Linked DNA regions of Macaca fascicularis. The protein of the gene in region 3 purifies or fractionates together with the protein of the main gene of each other region. This does not show direct contact. Links are inferred from orthologs where the notes say so. Each region holds a gene or a part of one and is shown on either strand. Other genes may lie near its edges. The genes, in order: UPF1, UPF2 and CASC3.

Region 1 (6,400 bases), on a different chromosome or scaffold from region 3:
AGTCGGGTGGATCACCTGAGGTCAGGAGTTCTCAACCAGCCTAACCATGGTGAAACCTGTCTGTACTAAATACAAAAAAATTAGCCAGGCGTGGTGGTGCATGCCTGTAATCTGAGCTACTTGGGAGGCTGAAACAGGAGAATCGCTTATACCTGGGAGGCGGAGATTGTGGTGAGCCGAGATCGTGCCATTGTACGCCAGCCTGGGCAACAAGAGCAAAACTCAGACTCCAAAGAAAGTAAGAAAGAAAAAAAAAAAACTAGACAGCAAGGACTCATTCACCAGCTGGAAGTCCGGGGGGCCTGGCCCGTGGCTCCACCCAGCATAGGGAGAGAACCTGGCGCTCCTTCCAGCTCACATACGCAGTAGTCCTCCTGTAGGTCACCATGGCTTTGTCATTGGTTACTTCCTCTTTCTAAGGCGCGCTCTTGTTTGGTGGGTGGTATTGGGTGGGTCCCCCCACAGCTGCGTGAGGTGGGCTAGAGGAGCTGGGCATCGGGTCAGTGCCCCAGCCTGCCAGGGACCCTGTGGGGCCACCTGTGCCCTGGTGCCTGGAAGGCTGACTCTCTTGACAGCAGGTCTTGTCTTCAAACGTATCCACCTAGCCAGGTGTCTGCCATGGGGCTGCTTAGAGTTGGCCACAAAATCAACCCGTGTGCAGGGTCAGTAGCTTGGCATTGGGCTCTGGGGCCTGTCCCTGTGGCTGGCAGCCTGCCTGCTGCCTTGGCTCGCCTGGTCCACGCCTCTCTTGCCTTGGATTTGGGTTGTGAGTGAATGCAGCCTTGCCTCTTGGACCATCCTGTGAGACGGGCCGCTCTCCACCTGCGTCCTCAGCACTGTGCCCTTGTTGCAGGTACGGCGTCATCATCGTGGGCAACCCGAAGGCGCTGTCGAAGCAGCCACTCTGGAACCACCTGCTGAACTACTACAAGGAGCAGAAGGTGCTGGTGGAAGGGCCGCTTAACAACCTGCGCGAGAGCCTCATGCAGTTCAGCAAGCCGCGCAAGCTGGTCAACACCATCAACCCGGTGAGCGTCTGCGCAGGACAGCAGGGCAGCAAGGAGAAACCCGGGCCTGAAACACTGCTGGGAATGTGCCAGCTTGGCCCATGTGCCTGTGAGCTGAGGGAGGGCTCTCCTAGGGGAGGATGGGCCAGCCCACTTCCTGTCTCCCAAGCCGTGTGTGGCATTTTTGGCTCAGGGCCCCTGAGTCCTGGGTGGCCTCTGGGAATTGGGCTCAGGGCTGCTGTGCCGCATGCAGCAGCCTGGGGCCTGGGACCTGGGACGCCGGGAGTTGGAAGCTTTTCAAGCCCGGGGTTCCCTGGTGGTGAGGGAATATGAAGCTTCCTGAGCTGAGGCCCAAGGGTCAGCATCAGCCCAGGTCTGCCAAGGAGGGCAGGCGAGACCCAGAGGCCGTGAGACACAGCTCTCTCCTGTCTCCAGGGAGAGCCCCTGGCACAGTGTCAACACCCCACAGCTGCATACCTGCTGCCTCCCAGGCCACCGGCCCATGGGAAGTTGTTCCTTCTGTTGAGATGACAAATTCCTCACCTATCTAAACCTTCGCAGGGAGCCCGCTTCATGACCACAGCCATGTATGATGCCAGGGAGGCCATCATCCCAGGCTCCGTCTATGATCGGAGCAGCCAGGGTGAGTTGCTCGGCAGGAGACCGGCCGGCCCCTTGTCCTTACACCAGGATGTTGGCTGTTCCCATGGCTGAAGCTTTAGGTGCCCCACCTTTCCTTCCCCTCAAGGGCGGGGCCTGGCTCCCTTGTCCTCCCCGCCCCCAGGGCATCTCTAGCCCCACAGCACCCCTGGGGCGTTTGTCTTTAGCCAGAGTTTATTTGTGTTTCCTGGTGATCAATCTAGTTAGCTTTTTCTTGCCTTTTGGTAGGGCAGGGACTGCATGTAGTACAAATAGAACATTTTCATAAAAAGGATTTTTTTTTCCTTTGGTAAATTCAGGGTGATTTTCATTTATTTTTTATGTTTAGAGACAGGGTCTCGCTATGTTGTCCAGGCTGGTCTCAAACTCCTGCCTCAAGCATTCCTCCCGCTCAGCCTCCCAAAGTGCTGGGATTACAGGCGAGAGTCACTGCACGTGGCCAATTTGCATGGGGGGTTTTTTTTGTTTGTTTGGTTTGGTTTTTTTTGAGACAGTCTTGCTTTGTCGCCCAAGCTGGAGTACAGTGGTGCGATCTTGGCTCACTGCAACCTCTGCCTCCCGGATTCAAGCGATTCTCCTGCCTTGGCCTCCCAAGTAGCTGGGATTACAAGCACCCACCACCACGCCCAGCTAATTTTTGTGTTTTTAGCCATGTTGGCCTGGCTGGTCTCAAACTCCTGATCTCAGGTGGTCCACCCACCTCGGCTTCCCAAAGTGCTGGGATTACAGGCTTGAGCCAACATGCCCGGCCCTGATTTTCAGATCTGTGTAGGCCAGTGATTCCCAGCAGGCTCTTCTGGGGGAAGGTGCCTGCCCTAGCACCCAGCCCCAGGCTGGCTGCTGTAGTCAACATGGAGTCCGGCGAATCTGCATCTTCAGCCTGGGCAGAGCCAGGACAGATGTGCAGCTCCGACTGACTGGCTGGTGGGGTGGGTGGGGCATCACCGGGGTTTGACCGAGGCAGATGACACCTGCTGTGTTCCACTGTGATTTGCAGGCCGGCCCTCCAGCATGTACTTCCAGACCCATGACCAGATTGGCATGATCAGTGCCGGCCCCAGCCACGTGGCTGCCATGAACATTCCCATCCCCTTCAACCTGGTCATGCCGCCCATGCCACCGCCTGGCTATTTTGGACAAGCCAACGGGCCTGCTGCAGGTAAGCATCCATGGCTGTGGCCGGGTGTGGCCCTCCTGAGAGCTCTCGAGGGTGTGCTTGTTTGCGAGGCCCTGGCCTCCTTGGGATCACCCTGGACTGCTGTCTTTCAGGCCGAGGCACCCCGAAAGGCAAGACTGGCCGTGGGGGACGCCAGAAGAACCGCTTTGGGCTTCCTGGGCCCAGCCAGACCAACCTCCCCAACAGCCAAGCCAGCCAGGATGTGGCGTCACAGCCCTTCTCTCAGGGCGCCCTGACGCAGGGCTACATCTCCATGAGCCAGCCCTCCCAGATGAGCCAGCCCGGCCTCTCCCAGCCGGAGCTGTCCCAGGTGAGCCCGCCCCACGCACAGAGCCCTCTTGCAGCCCTGGGACAGGACTTGCTTGAGTGAGAGTGGGGCTGTGCACCTGGAACATGCCCTCTGAAGAGCCCGAGAGCTGGCCTGGCCCATGTCCACTGTCCAAATTACCTGTCCCTGGGCTAGGGTCATCAGAGTGGATCTCCTGGGTCTTAATTTGGGGACGGATTTTCCATTCTCCTCTCTGGGCTTCTGAGGGCTGGGTGGATGTGAGCACCCTTGGCCTGTGGCTTGCTTACCTCCTGACATTGTCTTTCAGGACAGTTACCTTGGTGATGAGTTTAAATCACAAATCGACGTGGCGCTCTCGCAGGACTCCACGTACCAGGGAGAGAGGGCGTACCAGCATGGCGGGGTGACGGGGCTGTCCCAGTACTAAAAGGCAAGGCCCCCCGGAGCAGGCCTGGCCCCATCCCAGCCTCCAGGGAGCTGCTGGGGAGGGGTGGTATCTGGAAATGCATGCTGTCCCCAGTGGGGTCACAGGCCCGCAGGGCCAGCTTGGCCTGTGCCCTTCACCACCAGTCAGGGTGGCTCCATGTGTTGCCCAGTCACAGCCCCACTTTCCCCTTGAAAGAATTCTAGGGCTCCTCACGGAAAGGGATGTGGAGGCACCCCACCCTACCCCATCCTGGCGGGTAGCCCTCTGCTCGCGGGACCTGTTTCCTCATCAGAGTGGGGGAGAGCAGCTCGAGCTCTCCCTCGCTGTCCCGTGCGCTGGGTACCTGTGGGCCTCTGTGCGCCGCCTCTCACCGCCTCCTGCCCTTCTCCCTCCTGACAGGTGGCGGCGGAAGAGCTAAGCAACGTGGCTTAGTCCATCAGCATCTTATTCTGGGTAATAAAAAATAAAAATAAACGGATACCTGTTTTCCACTGCTAAAACTGAAGCACCACTGTGTGAGCGACAGGAAGGGAGAGCGCACGAGGGAGAGGAGCCGAGGCCGAGCGCCCCCTGCTGGCCCGCGGCGGCGAGGAGCAGAGGGAGCGGAGGAGGGGCCGGCCCGCGGGAGCCGCCGCCACCAGGAGGCCCCGCTCCGTCCCACCGGGGCTGCGGCCAGGGCGGAGGGAGGAAGACCCTCATCTCAGAGTAGCCCTTTCCTCTGTCTTTTATTTCTTTTTCTCTTTGATTGAAAGGGGACTACGTCTTAGCAGGAAAAAACTTCGCATTTCTGTGCCCGAGCAGGCTCCTTGCAAAGACGGCGGCGCGCAGGGCAGAGCCCCGGGAGGGCGCATCTGTCCACGCCTACCAGACGCGCCGAGGTCGCGCTGCCTGTGTTCTCCGAGGGCCTTCATTTAAAGAAAATAAGGGTGTTTGGGGTTTTTCTGTTTGTTTTTTCAAGATTCTTTTAAAGGAGTACTGAAGAATACTTTCCTAAGTTTGTCTCTAAAATCTTAGCGGTGGACCTGGGAGATGTGAGAAGCTTCCAGAAACAGTTTGAACAAGCCAGCGCCACTGGAGAAGAGGAGCAACACCTGTGCCGCGGCCTGGAGGAGGATTTTTGTTGCTGGTTTTAGCTTCCGGTGGCTTCTTGCTGCGGGGCATCGGGCCTCTGGGGTAGCCGCCCACCGAGCCTGGAAGCTGCTCGTTCTCCACTGGACTCAGAAGCCAAGCCGCTTCCCGCCCGGACTCGGCGCAGGGCCCTGCACCTGTGAGGAAGGTGCTTTTGGCCCCATTGCGAGGGGCCTTGGCTAGGACTGGCCCTGTGGCCAGGGGGCGAGAAGGTGGCTGTTCCCGGATCAACGGCTTTTTCCCGGGGGCCTTTGGAAGATTTGGTGGAAGGACAAGAGGGCCTGTCCCTGTCCCCAGGAGGCACCGACAGTCCCTGTACTGGTTAGACACACGGAGCGCTGCACACCGAAAGTCCAAATTGGGAGCTCTGCCTGCCAGCAGTTTTGCTGAGGGGGTGATCGCTGCTTCTGGGGGGTAAGGAAACAAGTTACAGGAATTACTGCGTTCTGTGTGAAGGGGCTGGGGGGTGTGGTGTCGTTGGCAGAGGGTCATTTTAGTTAGGAGAGCTGCCTCAGCCCCTCGAACCCCTGGCTTGGGGTGTCATTCCGCCTGGCGGCCAGGCCTCCAGCCTGCCCTGGCCCGGGCCTGGGGCTGTCACTTGCCCTGAGCTGAACACTTCCAGATTCCAGCTTCTACATGGGACAGACGGGGACGCACAGGCCACCTTCCTTCTGGCAGGGACTCTTATTTATTCCCATTGCTCTAGGGCTTTCGGTTTCCCCTTCTTCCGGTAGGCCGCGTAGAGGCATGCACCACGCACCGGGTAGGCTTCTGCGGTGACCCCGCGGCGGCCTAAGGGACGCTGCCTGCCCCATCCCGGCTGTTGGGTTGGGCCGCTTTGCCTCTGCTTCGCCCTGTGCTGTGTTCTCCAGCTTTGTAGCAGCGGCCTTGACAAACCCAGGCGCACCGTACCAAGGCAATGTAACTTTTGATTTTCGGTCAATTTAAGTTCTTTTGTCACCAATAAAATATTAAACAGTTTTGCCTTCACACCAAGGATTGGATAAACTGCAGGGGGCGGAGGGTGTTGGGGGCGGGGGTTCCCTGGCCGAGTGAGGGGTTGGGGTGTGAAGGACGCCAGAGGGAAACAGGCAAAGCCCAGAAAGGGCAGGTCTGCCTTGCAGGACTGAGGAAGGGCGACCCCTGCCCCTGGGCCCCTCCCGTGGGCAGCACCTGGGCCTGTCGGGACGGCTCCCGGGAGTGGCGGGTTAGGCCTCGGGTAAGTGACCTGGAAGTGGAAAGGCCTTTCCGATCGCCAAGGCCGAGGGGCGCTCTCCCCAACCCCAGGCAAAGGAGTCCAAGGAGACCAGCAGAGCAGACCACGCGACGTTTATTGTTGGGCCCGCGTCCTCGCCCGCCCCTCGTTAGCGGCAGCCGCACTCGTCCACCACCATGTCCTCATACTGCCGCAGCACCACGTTGTCACTGTTGTCAAAGAAGAGCACGGAGATGGGCGACAGGCGCGCGGGCACGCAGCAAGGCAAGTCGGCGGCTCCCGGGGCGGTTGCGTGCATGAGCGCGCGCAGCACAGCGTGGTTGAGCGCCGGCGGCCCCCCAGACCCCGACAGCGTGACGGGGAGCGCGCACTGACCCTGGCAGTAGTTGGCCAGGAAGCCACGCGGCGCGATGACCCAGCGGTGCCAGCCCACCTCGCGGAAGCTCACGTACAGCCGCCGCGCGCGACAAGCGCCCCCGGGGCCGCCGCCCAACAC
Region 2 (7,046 bases), on a different chromosome or scaffold from region 3:
TAATCATTAAGTGAAAAAAAGTTTATATAGATTTCACATTTTCTGATGTGATACATCAACAAGTAACATTTCAGGACCATAGGAAACTACAAAGAATGACATCAGAACTTACAATTCATGTCTCTCTTTTTTTTTTTTTTTTTGAGATGGAGTCTCACTCTGTTGCCAGGCTGGAGTGTAGTGGCGCGATCTCGGCTCACCGCAACATCTGCCACCCAGGTTCAAGCCATTCTCCTGCCTCAGCCTCCCGAGTAGCTGGGATTACAGGTGCGCATCACCATGCCCGGCTAATTTTGTATTTTTAGTAGAGAAGGGGTTTCTCCATGTTGGTCAGGCTGGTCTCATAAACTCCTGACCTCAGGTGATCCACCCACCTTGGCGTCCCAAAGTTCTGGGATTATAAGCATGAGTCACCATGGCTGGCCTCATGTCTCATTTCTAAAGATAAAATCTTAAATTCTTCAAAGAAAAGATTAAGAAATTCATCTAGTATTTGACAAATTCACAAAGGTCATCATTTATTAGTTCAACAAAGTCCCAAACTTTTATGACTCTTTAATAAGATTCATTTGTTAATTAAATTTTAAGTATTTACTATATAAAATAAAGCTACAGTAGGCGTTCAAGAATTAGACTCGGGGCCAGGCATAGTGGCTCATGCCTGTAATCCCAGCACTTTGGGAGGCTGAGGCAGGCAGATCACGAGGTCAAGAGATGGAGACCATCTTGGCCAACAACATGGTGAGAGCCCGTCTCTACTAAAAATACCAAAATTAACTGGGTGTGGTGGCACACGCCTGTAGTCCCAGCGACTCAGGAGGCTGAGGCAGGAGAATCACTTGAACCCAGGAGGTGGAGGTTGCAGTGAGCCGAGATGGCACCACTGCACTCCAGCCTGGCGACAGAGCGAGACTCTGTCTCAAGAAAAAAAAAAATAGGAATAGACTCTACCCTAGAGCATAATAAAACAGATTCTCCATAACCCATAAGTCCTGATACTGGTATCTTCTTTCAATCACTTCATCCTCACATTACAAGCATACACCCAAAGTATACTTGGAACTAAATTTCCGTAAACAAAAAAATAAGACAAAAATCTAAAAGTTCACGAAGAGGCAGCAATGCAACTTGTGAAAACAACATACATGGGCTTGGAAGTCGATAGATTTTAAATCTGCCTCCCAACTCTGCAGCCTGATAGCTACAGAAATCAGGCAACAACTTCTCTGAGTCCACGTATTTATCAATAAGAAGGATATACTGCTATCTATCTTGTAAAGTTCTTAAAATTCTAGCATAGTAACTAGCACGAGGGAGGCATTAATAAATGTTCGCTCACAAAGAACACTGAGAAGTTCAGCATACAATGAGAGATTTGTAAAGTCAAATAAAGACTATTAGATTTTATCTACTTCTATCCTCAATTTTTACATTCCAAGGACAGCAGCAGAGTCACCTACCCAAGATTACACAGATAGTTTCCATGGCTGGATCAACACTCACTACCCAGTACTCTTTTTCACTACCTACACTAAAACGAATAAAATATACAAACACCATGATTCACCTCAAAACACGTTTGTTTTATGTCCACTTAAGAAACTGAGCACTGGCCGGGCGCGGTGGCTCAAGCCTGTAATCCCAGCACTTTGGGAGGCCGAGACGGGCGGATCACAAGGTCAGGAGATCGAGACCATCCTGGTTAACACGGTGAAACCCCGTCTCTACTAAAAAATACAAAAAACTAGCGGGGTGAGGTGGCAGGCGCCTGTAGTCCCAGCTACTCGGGAGGCTGAGCCAGGAGAATGGCGTAAAGCCGGGAGGCGGAGCTTGCAGTGAGCTGAGATCTGGCCACTGCACTCCAGCCTGGGCAACAGAGCTAGACTCCGTCTCAAAAAAAAAAAAAAAAGAAAAGAAACTGAGCACTAAGTGATATTTAATAAAATACTAAAATTCTTATTTCAATAACTTCAAGCTTTAACAGCCAAACTTGTCATCTAAAGTGTTTCCAAAAGTTTTTCTAGTCCAAACTACAATTTTAAAAAGGTCCTTTCTCAAGATAGTAACAAGAAAAAATCGTGATCTTTTCGCTGGAATCCGATTAGCTGTTACAAATTAGTTTGCTGAATACAATTTATATTCAGACTACCCTTAAAAGGAAACCATGCTTTAAAACCACCTTCCTAGCTCCCAAAATAGTGTCCTGTCACTTGAACTGTATATTTTATTTGGTATTCTAAATATATTCTGAACTCCCAAAAGAAAGTAAAACTAATTTACTAGTAAAAGTACCAGTGGAGTGTACTGGGGGGAAGAGGGCACAAAAGGGGGTGTTTCCTTTTTAAAGATATTCCCTTGCAAAGTACCATATGGGTTATGTATGAAATCCCAATCAGAGTGCTCCGAAAATACTCCAGAGTGAGAGAATGCTGTTTCACCTTTCAATTCTTAGTCAAAATGTTGTAAGGACAGAACAGCACAGGAACACTCTCTCTCAGTTTCTGACTTTATTTTTTAAAGAACATCCTTAGTATAAAGGACGTTTAGTTAAGAATTGTTAGAAATTGTCCCAGCTCACAAATGAGGAGACTGACGATGTTAAGGAACACCTAAGAACTATGGAAATGAGATAAAGCGTCAGCGAGCGTTTCACTTTGATCTGATGCATCACTTCGTGTCGTGTAAGTCCTCCAAGAAGAGCAAGGCAACTGAAGGTCCGATCACCCCAGAGTGGACCCAGCTGGCTCTGCTCTGCCAACCTGGGGACCAAATATCCTGTGGTCACTTCCTTAGTCCAACAGTCCTAGCAAGAAGAGAGTGCCTGGAGTCTTGAAGGGGTGAAGGCAAAGTGAAGAATAACCAGCCTATGTGATTAAAAGGAAGTCAACCAAACAGCCCATGCCCACCATCCCCAGATACACCCCAAGCCCCTTCGCCTACACACACCTCTCCTACAAACCCCTGCTCTGGTGGTGTGGCAACGTCTACACCCACCACACCACTTCCCCGCCACAACTCCCCTTCCCACAGGTATCCACGGTCACCTTCGCAGACCATCGCTGCCCCAACCCCAACTTCTCGCCCCACACTCCCTCGCCACAGAAGCCTCCCCGGCCGGTCTCCCCACTCCGCAGCCTCCCACACACGCGCCCTCCCCACTTCCTCGCCCTCGCTTCCCTCCCGGCTCTCGAGGAGCTTCCCCCGACCTCCCCTCGCTCTCCTCCACGCCCCCGAACACCTTCGCCCCTCCACCGCGGGCTCCCCGCCTCCAGCCCCGAGGCCCGGCCCAGGCATGTGGGGCAGGCACCTCCTCCACCGCCCCCCATGCCCGGCCCGGCCCGGGGGCTCCCGCGTTGATGGGAGCCTCGGAGAGAGGGGGTCTGAGAAGAACGACGCCGGACCCGCGGTCCCTCCACTGCTCGCCGACCCCGGAGAGCTAGAGTGCGGAGTCGCCTCTGGGGTCCCCCAGGGAGTAGGACTCTAGGCCGGTGCCCCCCAGCCCCGTTTCTTCCCGATCGTTGGAGCGGAGGGGAAGGAGGATCCCCGGGACTCACCTCGAGCCTGTTGTCAACATTAGCCCCGGGTTTCCCAGCACCAACTCCAGCGCTCGGGCTCTCCCCTCCCCTCCCCCCACCTATCTCGCAGCCGAGGGCCCGCCTTCCCTTAGCTCCCCCTCCTCCCTCCGCCCGCCGGCCCTCCCGCCCGCCACTCACCAGCGCGGCCGGGCTGAGAGTGGGGGCGGGGCGGAAGGAGGCGAGAGGGAAAAGGCCGTCCGCGCGACTGCCCGATTAAAAACAGTCCTGATCGCCCTCCCCGCGGCATGCCGATGCCCTCAGCTTGACTCTGGGGTGGCGGGTCCGAGGCAAAGGCTCATATAAGTGCCACCCACTTAATGGCTCTTCCAAATTCCCCAGTCGATGAGAAGAGCGAATTTTTCAGACAGGTAATGCGTAAGGTAGCCACTACCAGCACCTCAAGCCAGGGCCCCAGCGGAGAGGTGGAGTGTTCCGAGGACCCGAGGCAGGAAGTGGATTGGTCGCCAGGAAAGGGAAAGCGCCTGAATTGGAGCTGCGCAGGCGCAAGCACTTCGCGGGGGATGGGGGTGGGAAGCGCGAATGGGGCGGGGCGGAGCTCACGGGAGGCGAGGAAGGGTGGTGGAATAGTGGGAGGGTTACGGAGCGCCATTAAGGACAAGCCTGGGCACGTGATTCTCCTGGGAGTTTCCTGGTGCGAACGTAAGGAAGAGGTCTAAGAAGAGAAAGTTTGATTGGACTAATTCGAGGGGAGACGTTGAAGATTTAGAAAATTGGAAACTGGAGAAACTAAAGCATATGGCTGGTTTGGGAGGTGGGAGTCGCTTAGGAATGGGTCTAGTTTTAAGAATGCCCTAGAAGACATCAAAAGTCCCGCGGGGGGATTTCTGTAGCAGTTGTAGGTGTTCGACGTAAAAACCACCCAGGGCGAAGACGAATCAAGGCTTTTTCCATACACTTCTTAGAAAACACCCAGTTCTAACAAGCAAATTTTTATTACAGTGGAAAGACCTCCCTGAGTTATCAAATCACCCATTTATAAAAAAAATGGCTAGCGTCGACATTTCTTCTGAATGCGAACCCAGGCCGACTTTTAAAAATGGGGTATCAGTTTATCCACACTGCTTATTTCCCACTGAATTTCTGAAATGGTGCATCTGGCCTCGAAACAGTGCTGGGTTCTGCGAACATGATCCGAGTAGGTGGCTCTGGCTGGTCCGGAGCTAGAGGAACAAGGGTGCGAAACTGGTCTTGACGTTTGCTTGGCCTGCGGGGGCCCCACCTGGTGTCTAGGCACACATAATGAGCTACTACCAACCACAAATACTTGAGGCAAGTCCAGGTTCCCTATGACTCAACCTTTGCCCGTTTGTCTCTATTTACTGTTTGCTTCCCCATTTACTCTTAGCACGCAAATTATCCTCTCATACTGAGTGTTGCTGCTTCCTGTATTTTAAAAAAATACACACTACACATAGGTCAATCATTTAAAGGGTAGTAAAAGAGAAAGGTGAATACAGCTATTCTGCAGCCTTGATAAACAATGATGAGAACTGCCCCCAAATACCATGTTGGTGATAGCCACCCACACTTCTCTTCAAGGTCTCTTTTTCTCATTTTGTCGGATTACCTTAAGAAGCTTTACCTCTGGCCAGACATGGTGCCTCATGCCCGTATTCTCAGCACTTTGGGAGGCCGAGGCTGGTGGATCACCTGAGGTCAGGAGTTCCAGACCAGCCTGGCCCCAACATGGTGAAACCCCGTCTCTACTAAAAATAGAAAATTAGCCTGACGTGGTGGCGAGCGCCTGTAATCCCAGCTACTCGGGAAGCTGAGGCAGGAGAATCCATTAGAACCCGGGAAGCAGAAGTTGCAGTGAGCCCAGATAGCGCCACTGCACTCCGGCCTGGGCAACAGAGCAAGCGAGACTCTGTCTCAAAAAAAAAAAAAAAAAAAGAAAAAAGCTTTACCTCTTTGTTAATAAATATAATAAATCCTTCTCAATAAATATACTAAATCCTTCTCATCGTAAATCAAGTCAACCTTTGCCTTTAATCAGGTGTTAAAAGGAAATCACCTAAAATCACCTAAAAGAGGAGGGCCTTTTTGTTGAGCATTTGCTATTTTACATTTGTGATTTTAATTGCAGTCACCATTTTATAAAAGTTGAGTCAGATTAATTTACTGTCACAAAATTAGTAAGTTTCATACTTACTAATTTTAATTAAATACTACCTAGTATTCTACTCAAATCTAACTCCAAAAACCCAAGTTCTTTCTGCTGTGGCTCTACGCAAACTTTTACGTAAACTGAAAATGCTGCCAATCATTTTACATCCAAAGACAGATGTCAAGCCAGCCACCAAAAGCCTGATGTGAGAATATCATTGTAATGTCTTAACTAGAAAAAAACACCCCACTGTGAAGAGGCCATCATTTTTTATTCTGATAATTCAAACTTTATGATTTTCTGAAAATACATTCTCAAGATGAATTTTTGAGAAAAGTCTCAAAAATGTTCATTGTTCTTTTTGTCTGCTGCAATTGACAGAACTGTTCTATATGGGGAAAAAAGAGAATGAAGCTATTTAGTTTTTATTTAGACCTACACGATGCTACTCGCTACTTAAAACCTAGCTGGTGGCAGCTTCACAGACAAAAGCAAAGGCCAGACAAAGAGATTACAATTACAGAGAAGGACAAATCCTGACTTTAAGGAAAAGAAAAAGGCATCATATGAGGCCAACCAGCTCTAACTACATCCTCTGCCCCCTGACCTCAGAGAACTGGGAGTGTGCTGTTCCATGAGGAAATCCAGCTTTGATCTTTTAGAAGCCAATGTTTAACCTAGTTTAAGCTGCTTTTTTAAAAATACCTACCTCTTGGTTTATCTCTGCTAGAAATTTTTTCAGCGTTTCCTCTTTCTGCTTAACAGTTTCCAAAAGTAAATGTGTTGGGGTGTGTCCCTTCAATATGAAATATAAGCACTGGCCAGGCGCGGTGGCTCACGCCTGTAATCCCGACACTTTGGGAGGCCAAGGAGGGCGGATCACTTGAGGTTGGGAGTTCGAGACCAGTCTGGCCAACATGGTGAAATCCTGTCCCTACTAAAAATACAAAATTAGCCAGGCGTGGTGGCGTGCACCTGTAATCCCAGCCACCCGGGAGGCTGAGGCAGGAGAATCACTTGCACCTAGAAGGCAGAGGTTGCGGGGAGCCGAGATCATGCCATTGTACTCAGCCTGGGCAACAAGAGCGAAACTGGGTCTCAACAACAACAAAAAAAGAAATATAAGTATTGAGGGTGCATTTAAACAAATATAAACATATGAAACATAATGGTGCTTACTACCAAATCATGTTGGGATTTCTTGTGGAACTGTAAGATGAAAATCAGTTTACTAACACTGGCTTCTCTGAATTCCACCAAAATAGAACACAAGCAATGTGAGGTTAACCTGTTTTATTTGTCAAGCTTTTAATATGGCTAGTCAAAAAAGTAAATTAATATTG
Region 3 (6,988 bases):
TTTTTTTTTTTGAGACAGAGTTTCGCTCTTGTTGCCCAGGCTGGAGCACAATGGCACGATCTTAGCTCACTGCAACCTCCACCTCTTGGGTTCAAGTAATTCTCCTGCCTCAGTCTCCTGGGTCACTGGGATTACAGGCGCCAGCTACCACGCCTAGCTAATTTTTCTTTTTTTTGTTGTTTTTTTTTTTTTTTGAGACGGAGTCTCACTCTGTGCCCCAGGCTGGAGTGCAGCGGCGCGACCTCGGCTCACTGCAAGCTCCGCCCCCCGGGTTCACGCCATTCTCCTGCCTCAGCCTCCCAAGTAGCTGGGACTACAGGCGCCCGCCACCACGCCCGACTAGTTTTTTGTATTTTTTTAGTAGAGACGGGGTTTCACGGTGTTAGCCAGGATGGTCTCGATCTCCTGACCTTGTGATCCGCCTGCCTCGGCCTCCCAAAGTGCTGGGATTACAGGCTTGAGCCACCGCAACCGGCGCTAATTTTTCTTTTCAGTAGAGACAGGGTTTTGCCACGTTGGCCAGGCTGGTCTTGAACTCCTGACCGCAGCTGATCCACCCGACTCGGCCTCCCAAAGTGCTGGGATTACAGGTGTGAGCCACTGCGCCCGGCCCATGAGATATTTTTATATAGCTATACAATGTGTAATAATCATGTTAAGGGTAAATGGGGTACGGATCACTTCAAGCACTTATCCTTTGTTACAAACAATTCAATTACATTCTTTTATTGACACTTATTTTTTTTTTTGAGATGGAGTCTTGCCCTGTCACCAGCCTGGAGCACAGTGGCGTGATCTCGGCTCACTGCAACCTCTGCCTCCCAGATTCAAGCAATTCTCCTGCCTCAGCCTCCTGAGTAGCTGGGACCATAGGCGCGCGCCACCACACCCCGGCTAATTTTTGTATTTTTGGTAGAGACAGGATTTCACCATGTTGGCCAGGGTGGTCTCGATCTCTTGACTTCGTGATCCACCCACCTTGGCCTCCCAAAGTGCTGGGATTACAGGCTTGAGCCACCACGCCCAGCCAATAGTTATTTTTAAATATACAATAAGTTACTGTTGACTGTAGTCACCATGTTGCAAATATGAAATTCTAGATCTTAGTCATTCTTATTTTTTAAATTTTTTTGAGACAGAGTCTTGCTCTGTTGCCCGGGCTGGATTACAGTGGTGTTGATTATGGCTCCCTGCCACCTCCACTTCCCAGGCTCAAGGGATTCTCCTGCCTCAGCCACTTGAGTAGTTGGAATTACGGGCATGCGTGACCACGACCTGCTAATTTTTGTATTTTTAGTAGAGATGGAGTTTTGCCAAGTTGGCCAGGCTGGTCTTGACCTCCTGGCCTCAAGTGACTGGCCCACCTTGGCCTCCCACAGTGCTGGGATTACAGGTGTGAGCCATTGCGCTGGGTTTAGATCTTATTCATCCTAAGTATTATTACTTTTTTGTACCCCTATGGGTTTTTTTTTTTTTTCCAGACGGAGTCTCGCTCTGTCACCCAGGCTGGAGTGCAGTGGTGCGATCTCAGCTCACTGCAAGCTCCGCCTTCCGGGTTCACACCATTCTCTTGCCTCAGCCTCCAGAGTAGGTGGGACTACAAGGCGCCCGCCACCATGCTTGGCTAATTTTTTGTATTTTTAGTAGAGACAGGGTTTCACCGTGTTAGCCAGGATGGTCTCCACCTCCTCACCTTGTGATACGCCCGTCTCGGCCTCCCAAAGTGCTGGGATCACAGGCGTGAGCCACAGTGCCTGGCCTCTTTTTTTTTTTATGTATTTACTTTTTAAGACAGTCTCACTCCGTCACCCACATAGGAGTGCAGTGGCATGATTTCAGCTCACTGCCACCTCCATCTCCTGGGATCAAACAATTTTCGTGTCTCAGCCTCCCAAGTAGCTGGAATTACAGGCATACATCACCATACCCAGCTAATTTTTGTTATTTTTTAGTAGAGATGGGTTTTCACCATGTTGGCCAGGCTGGTCTCAAACTCCTGGTCTCAAGTGATCCGCCTGCCTCAGTCTTCCAAAGTGCTGGGATTACAGGCATGAGCCACTGCTCCCAGCCCCTATGGGCTTTCTTGACTGTTGTTCCCTCTGCCTAGAACACATTCTACCCAGTCAACTCTTAATCTTTCCTGACTGACTAGGATGGATTCAGTGCCCAGCTATAACACCCTACTTAGCCCTATCCCAGCGCTATCCTCTATCAGCAAGTGGTACAATTGCTTGAATGTTTGTCTGACTTCCTTATTAAGTTGTAAGATCTCTAAAGATAGGAATTTTGTTATAGTGTTCACTGTTCCATCTTCAAGGGCTTAACAGATTCTAAAATGTAGTAACGGTTCTAAAAATTTATAGACAAAATCTTTGATCCACTATCCAATTCCCCCTGTATATAATCCCATTAGCAGAACTCAGGACTCCACTCAACAACCCAGAAAACAAACATTTATTCTGATGGCATCTCTAGTAGTTTATCCAAAAGACAGGAAACTCTCCTAGAAACAGAGAAATCCCCACCTATAAAATGATGGATGCTCTTGGCACAAAACATTCAGAATCCTACCCTTTCAAAGTCTTCAGATAGATTTGGAAAAAAAAATCCACGAAAAAAATATCCAACTGGCTGGCTTCTTAACCTCCACTGCATAAAACAAACTGTCAAACATCTTTCAGAGGACTTCAAGATGTACTCATTCTCTTATTTAGAATCTCATATTCTTCAGACAGGAAGAGAAGTCAACTAAAAGTATAACACCTGTGGCTTGAGACGGCATGCCCCAAGTTTTCCCTAGGTCTAAAGAGAACAAGACATTCTGTAACACTTTCTCAGAAGCATAAATGAAGAATACACAAGAGGATAAACACGGAGGTCATGGTACGTTTGCAACGAAGGTGTGTACACTTTCTAAAAGCATTTCTGATCTGTACCATAGGAAAAAACCTGTCATACTCACTTCTGAGTCTTCTGCACTTTCATAATCCGAGAGAACAGCTGAAATAAAACAGAAATATGTGGAAAAACAGAAACCCAGAAACATTTTTTGGCTGCTTATTATAGGTCAGACTAAGAGTCTCATTTAATTCTGACATCAACCTACAACGTGGATAAAATTATAGTCTCCACTTACAGAAGGAAAAACAGACTCAGAGTAACTTGCACAAGACTACACTGCTAAAACCTATGCTCTTAAGCACTATACTACAAAAAGCCACTCTGTGGCCCTAAATCCGTGTGTGAGAATGTCGACAGTTGGAAATAGATTTTCTGAGTTTATGTTAAAAAAAACTCTTGTCCTAATGGGGTAAAAGATGCTACTCACCATCACCTTCAATGCCATCTTCACTCTCCTGAAGGAAAGTAGAAGACATGGGTTAGTTCTGTGATTTCCAGAGGTGGAGAGCCCAATAAAGAAATGTGGGTGAAGAGCTGAAGAATGAGCACAAAATGGTCGGAGAGAGAGACAAGTAGTAGCCAAGGCAGGCCTGGTCTTTAGTAGCCAAGGCAGATCTGGTCTCCTTCCCTCCAGACCCGATTTCTGAATAAACATCCGCTTTCCATCCCCAGCGGCTCTGCCATCCTCCCAGAAACCCCCAATCCTTCTTCCCTTAGAACTCCGGATGCAAACTCGCACTGGGATAACTCCCCTTTTCTCGTAAAAACAACAAAAAAAGTCCCAGTATCTACTATCAACTCCCAGACACCTAGCATCACCTACACCCCGCCCCCGGCCGGCCGGCTCGCCGCCCGGTCCCCACCCCACCCCGCCCCGCCTCGCCTGCGCGCACTCACACACTCCGACTCCTCAGCGCTCTTGGCGCCCCCGCTCTCCACCCGCCGCAAATGAAGGGCCCCGATTCGGCCTCCGCGCTGTGAAGGCAGAGAGCCGCTGCCGCCGCCTCCAGCGCTACCGCTGCAGCTCCCGCCGCCCCGCAACGGGGAGCCGCCGCTGTCTGAGCCCGAAGCACCAGATTCCTCGTCCTCGGTGTCTTGCGAAGCGCGCTGCCGCCGCCGGTCCGCCATTTTACGGAGAACGGCCACCGCCGGCGAGCTACTTACGCACCGCGCCCGTCCCAGAGGCTGCTGGGAGGCTCGCTAGCTAGTCCCGGCGTGCTGCGCGTGCGGCGCTCAGCCATCCCGCTTGGGGTGGGCGGGACACGGGGCGGGGCCTTGGCCTGCGGCAGGTTTGCGGCGGAACCGGATTACGTCTATCGGTGATGTAAGGGGGCGTGGCGCGGCTTCTGACTTCTCTTAGGCAGGCCTAGGGCGAGGGGAATTGAGAATTCAGCTGCTTCCCGGGTTCCTGGCCCGGCCATCTTGGGCTTCCCGAGTGGAAGGCATCGACCTGTCACAGCTTTACTGCAACACTGGGGTTGTTTCATGGTTTTCTGTTTCCGTTTCTCAGTTCTACCTACGTTTGAAGCAGGTCAATTTACTGCATTCCTTTGCTTGGTAATATCACGAATCAAGGTAAATCTTAAAAGCCGTAGTGCTGCGTCAGATTTGCTACACCAGCCCGGTTTTTAAGATAACGAGCGAAGGAGAAACCAATTGTCTGCAGTGAAGCCAGAGGACTTCTTGTTGCAGCGTTTTCTCTGTGTTCTCATTTCCTCTTCACGTTTCTTCCCACCCCAGCCATCACCTGTCCCAAAGTGCAGGCTGGTATGATGCCAGTGTTATCGGTTTGATTTGGTTTGGTTTTGAGGCAGGGTCTCTTGCGCAGGCTGGAGTGCAGTGGCACGATCACGGCTCACTGCAGCTTGACCTCCCGGGCACAGGTGACCTCCCTGCCTCAGCCTCCTTCGTAGCTGGGACAACCGTCACACACTACCACACCCGGCTAATTTTTCTATTTTTTGTAGAGATGGGGGTCTCGCTATTGCTCAGGCTTGTCTCCTGGCTGGGCTCAAGCGATCCTCTCGTCTCAGCCTCCCAAAGTGCTGGGATTACAGGCATGAGCTACTGCCCTTGTGAGGATTTTAAAACCTATTTAAAAATAAATGGTCAGTAGAAACGGATGTTGATTCAAAATCCTGACATTATTTCCTTCTTAAGGTTCATGGAAATTCTTTGATTTTGGCAAGGCGTTTGTCACCAATGAAAAGAATCAATGTATTTTCTTTGTACCATTATAAGGATATACAAAGTGCATGAGCTAAGTTTTTAGTGTACCTACAGGAGTGCACGCTAATAATGTATGTATCAAACAAAGGCCACTATGGCATAGGATTCTTTCCTGAGTAAAAAAAAAAAAAAGTTTTTTTTTTTTGAGACGGAGTCTCTGTCGCCCAGGCTGGAGTGCAGTGGCGCCATCTCGCCTCACTGCAAGCTCCGCCTCCCGGGTTCACGCCATTCTGCCTCAGCCTCCCGAGTAGCTGGGACTACAGGCGCCCGCCACCACGCCCGGCTAATTTTTTGTATTTTTAGTAGAGACGGGGTTTCACCGTGTTAGCCAGGATGGTGTCAATCTCCTGACCTCATGATCCGCCCGCCTCAGCCTCCCAAAGTGCTGGGATTACAGGAGTGAGCCAACACGTGCAGCCTTTCCTGAGTAGAATTTTTATAAATAACATGGTTAAGGATCCTGATGTTTATCAAATTTATAGACAACATGAAACTGGAAGTAATTATGAATGCCTTCAGAGATTAAATGAAAATTCAAGGCCGGTTACGGTGGCTCATACCTGTAATCCCAGCACTTCGGGAGGCCAAGGCGGGCGGATCACGAGGTCAGGAGATCGAGACCATCCTGGCTAACACGGTGAAACCCCGTCTCTACTAAAAAATACAAAAAGCTAGCCGGGCAAGGTGGCGGGCGCCTGTAGTCCCAGGTACTTGGGAGGCTGAGGCAGAGTGGCGTGAACCCGTGAGGCGGAGCTTGCAGTGAGCCGAGGTGGAGCCACTGCACTCCAGCCTGGGTAACAGCGAGACTCCGTCTCAGAAAAAAAATTCAAACAATCTCAGCTAATTAGACAAGTGGCCAAACGTGACGACTTGTAAGTCCAGCTCCAAAAGCCAACTGCCTGAGTTCAAAATGGAGGATATATGATTTAATAAGTGTTAAAGTAAAAGACCTGGAGGATCTTATCGATCATAAGCTAAACTGGTGCAAATAAGGCTGCCAAGTTTAGTGTCTAAATAAGGAAAGTGATAGTCTGCCACTTTGTCCTTCAGTTGTTTGGTCTGGGTCCAATTTAATTTTTTTTTTTTTTTTTTTTTTGAGACAGTCTTGCTCTGTCGCCCAAGCTGGAGTGCAGTGACCAGATCTCAGCTCACTGCAAGCTCTGCCTCCCGGGTTTACGCCATTCTCCTGCCTCAGCCTCCCGAGTCGCTGGGACTACAGGCACCCGCCACTTCGCCCGGCTAGGTTTTTGTATTTTTTAGTAGAGACGGGGTTTCACCGTGTTAGCCAGGATGATCTCGATCTCCTGACCTCGTGATCCGCTCGTCTTGGCCTCCCAAAGTGCTGGGATTAGAGGCTTGAGCCACCACGCCCGGCCTGTTTGTTTTTTTTTTTTTTCCAGACAGAGTCTCGCTCTGTCACCCAGGCTTGAAGTGCTTTGGCGCGACCTCCGCTCACTGCAAGCTCCACCCCCCGGGGTTCATGCCATTCTCCTGCCTCAGCCTCCTGAGTAGCTGGGACTACCAGCGCCCACCCACCACGCCCGGCTAATTTTTTTGTATTTTTAGTAGAGACGGGGTTTCACCGTGTTAGCCAGGATGGTCTCGATCTCCTGACCTCGTGATCCGCCCACCTCGGCCTCACAAAGTGCTGGGATTACAGGCGTGAGCCACCTTGCCCGGCCTCGAGCCACAGCAATCTTTAGGGACTATGAAGAAAAGGAGGGATTGATCTTTTTTTCATTATCCTAGAAGGCAAAGCAAAAACCAATGGGTTTAAGTTACAAGAAGTTAGATTTTTGTCAACAAGCAAGAATTTTCAAACACTTAGGGGGAAAAATGTAATGTAAAAAACAAATTG

What was found.
Region 1: the proteins of CASC3 (region 3) and UPF1 purify together in Homo sapiens (co-immunoprecipitation; 5 studies listed by BioGRID and IntAct, with this or other methods). This does not show direct contact. The link is inferred for Macaca fascicularis from reciprocal best matches to the Homo sapiens genes CASC3 and UPF1.
Region 2: the proteins of CASC3 (region 3) and UPF2 fractionate together in Homo sapiens (co-fractionation; 3 studies listed by BioGRID and IntAct). This does not show direct contact. The link is inferred for Macaca fascicularis from reciprocal best matches to the Homo sapiens genes CASC3 and UPF2.

Annotation. Positions count from the first base shown.
Region 1 is NC_088393.1:19,268,161-19,274,560, forward strand, and holds the end of UPF1 (regulator of nonsense transcripts 1), read left to right. Parts: intron 1-853; coding exon 854-1,028; intron 1,029-1,568; coding exon 1,569-1,650; intron 1,651-2,664; coding exon 2,665-2,826; intron 2,827-2,936; coding exon 2,937-3,154; intron 3,155-3,440; coding exon 3,441-3,560; 3' UTR 3,561-3,563; intron 3,564-3,959; 3' UTR 3,960-5,678; downstream 5,679-6,400. Other genes in the region: GDF1 (embryonic growth/differentiation factor 1), read right to left, coding at 6,053-6,400. UniProt on the Homo sapiens protein: RNA-dependent helicase required for nonsense-mediated decay (NMD) of aberrant mRNAs containing premature stop codons and modulates the expression level of normal mRNAs.
Region 2 is NC_088383.1:12,952,702-12,959,747, forward strand, and holds the start of UPF2 (regulator of nonsense transcripts 2), read right to left. Parts: upstream 4,060-7,046; 5' UTR 3,714-4,059; intron 3,642-3,713; exon of another isoform or gene 3,555-3,641; intron 1-3,554. UniProt on the Homo sapiens protein: Involved in nonsense-mediated decay (NMD) of mRNAs containing premature stop codons by associating with the nuclear exon junction complex (EJC).
Region 3 is NC_088390.1:61,216,003-61,222,990, reverse strand, and holds the start of CASC3 (protein CASC3), read right to left. Parts: upstream 4,055-6,988; 5' UTR 4,030-4,054; coding exon 3,799-4,029; intron 3,357-3,798; coding exon 3,329-3,356; intron 3,001-3,328; coding exon 2,963-3,000; intron 1-2,962. UniProt on the Homo sapiens protein: Required for pre-mRNA splicing as component of the spliceosome. Core component of the splicing-dependent multiprotein exon junction complex (EJC) deposited at splice junctions on mRNAs.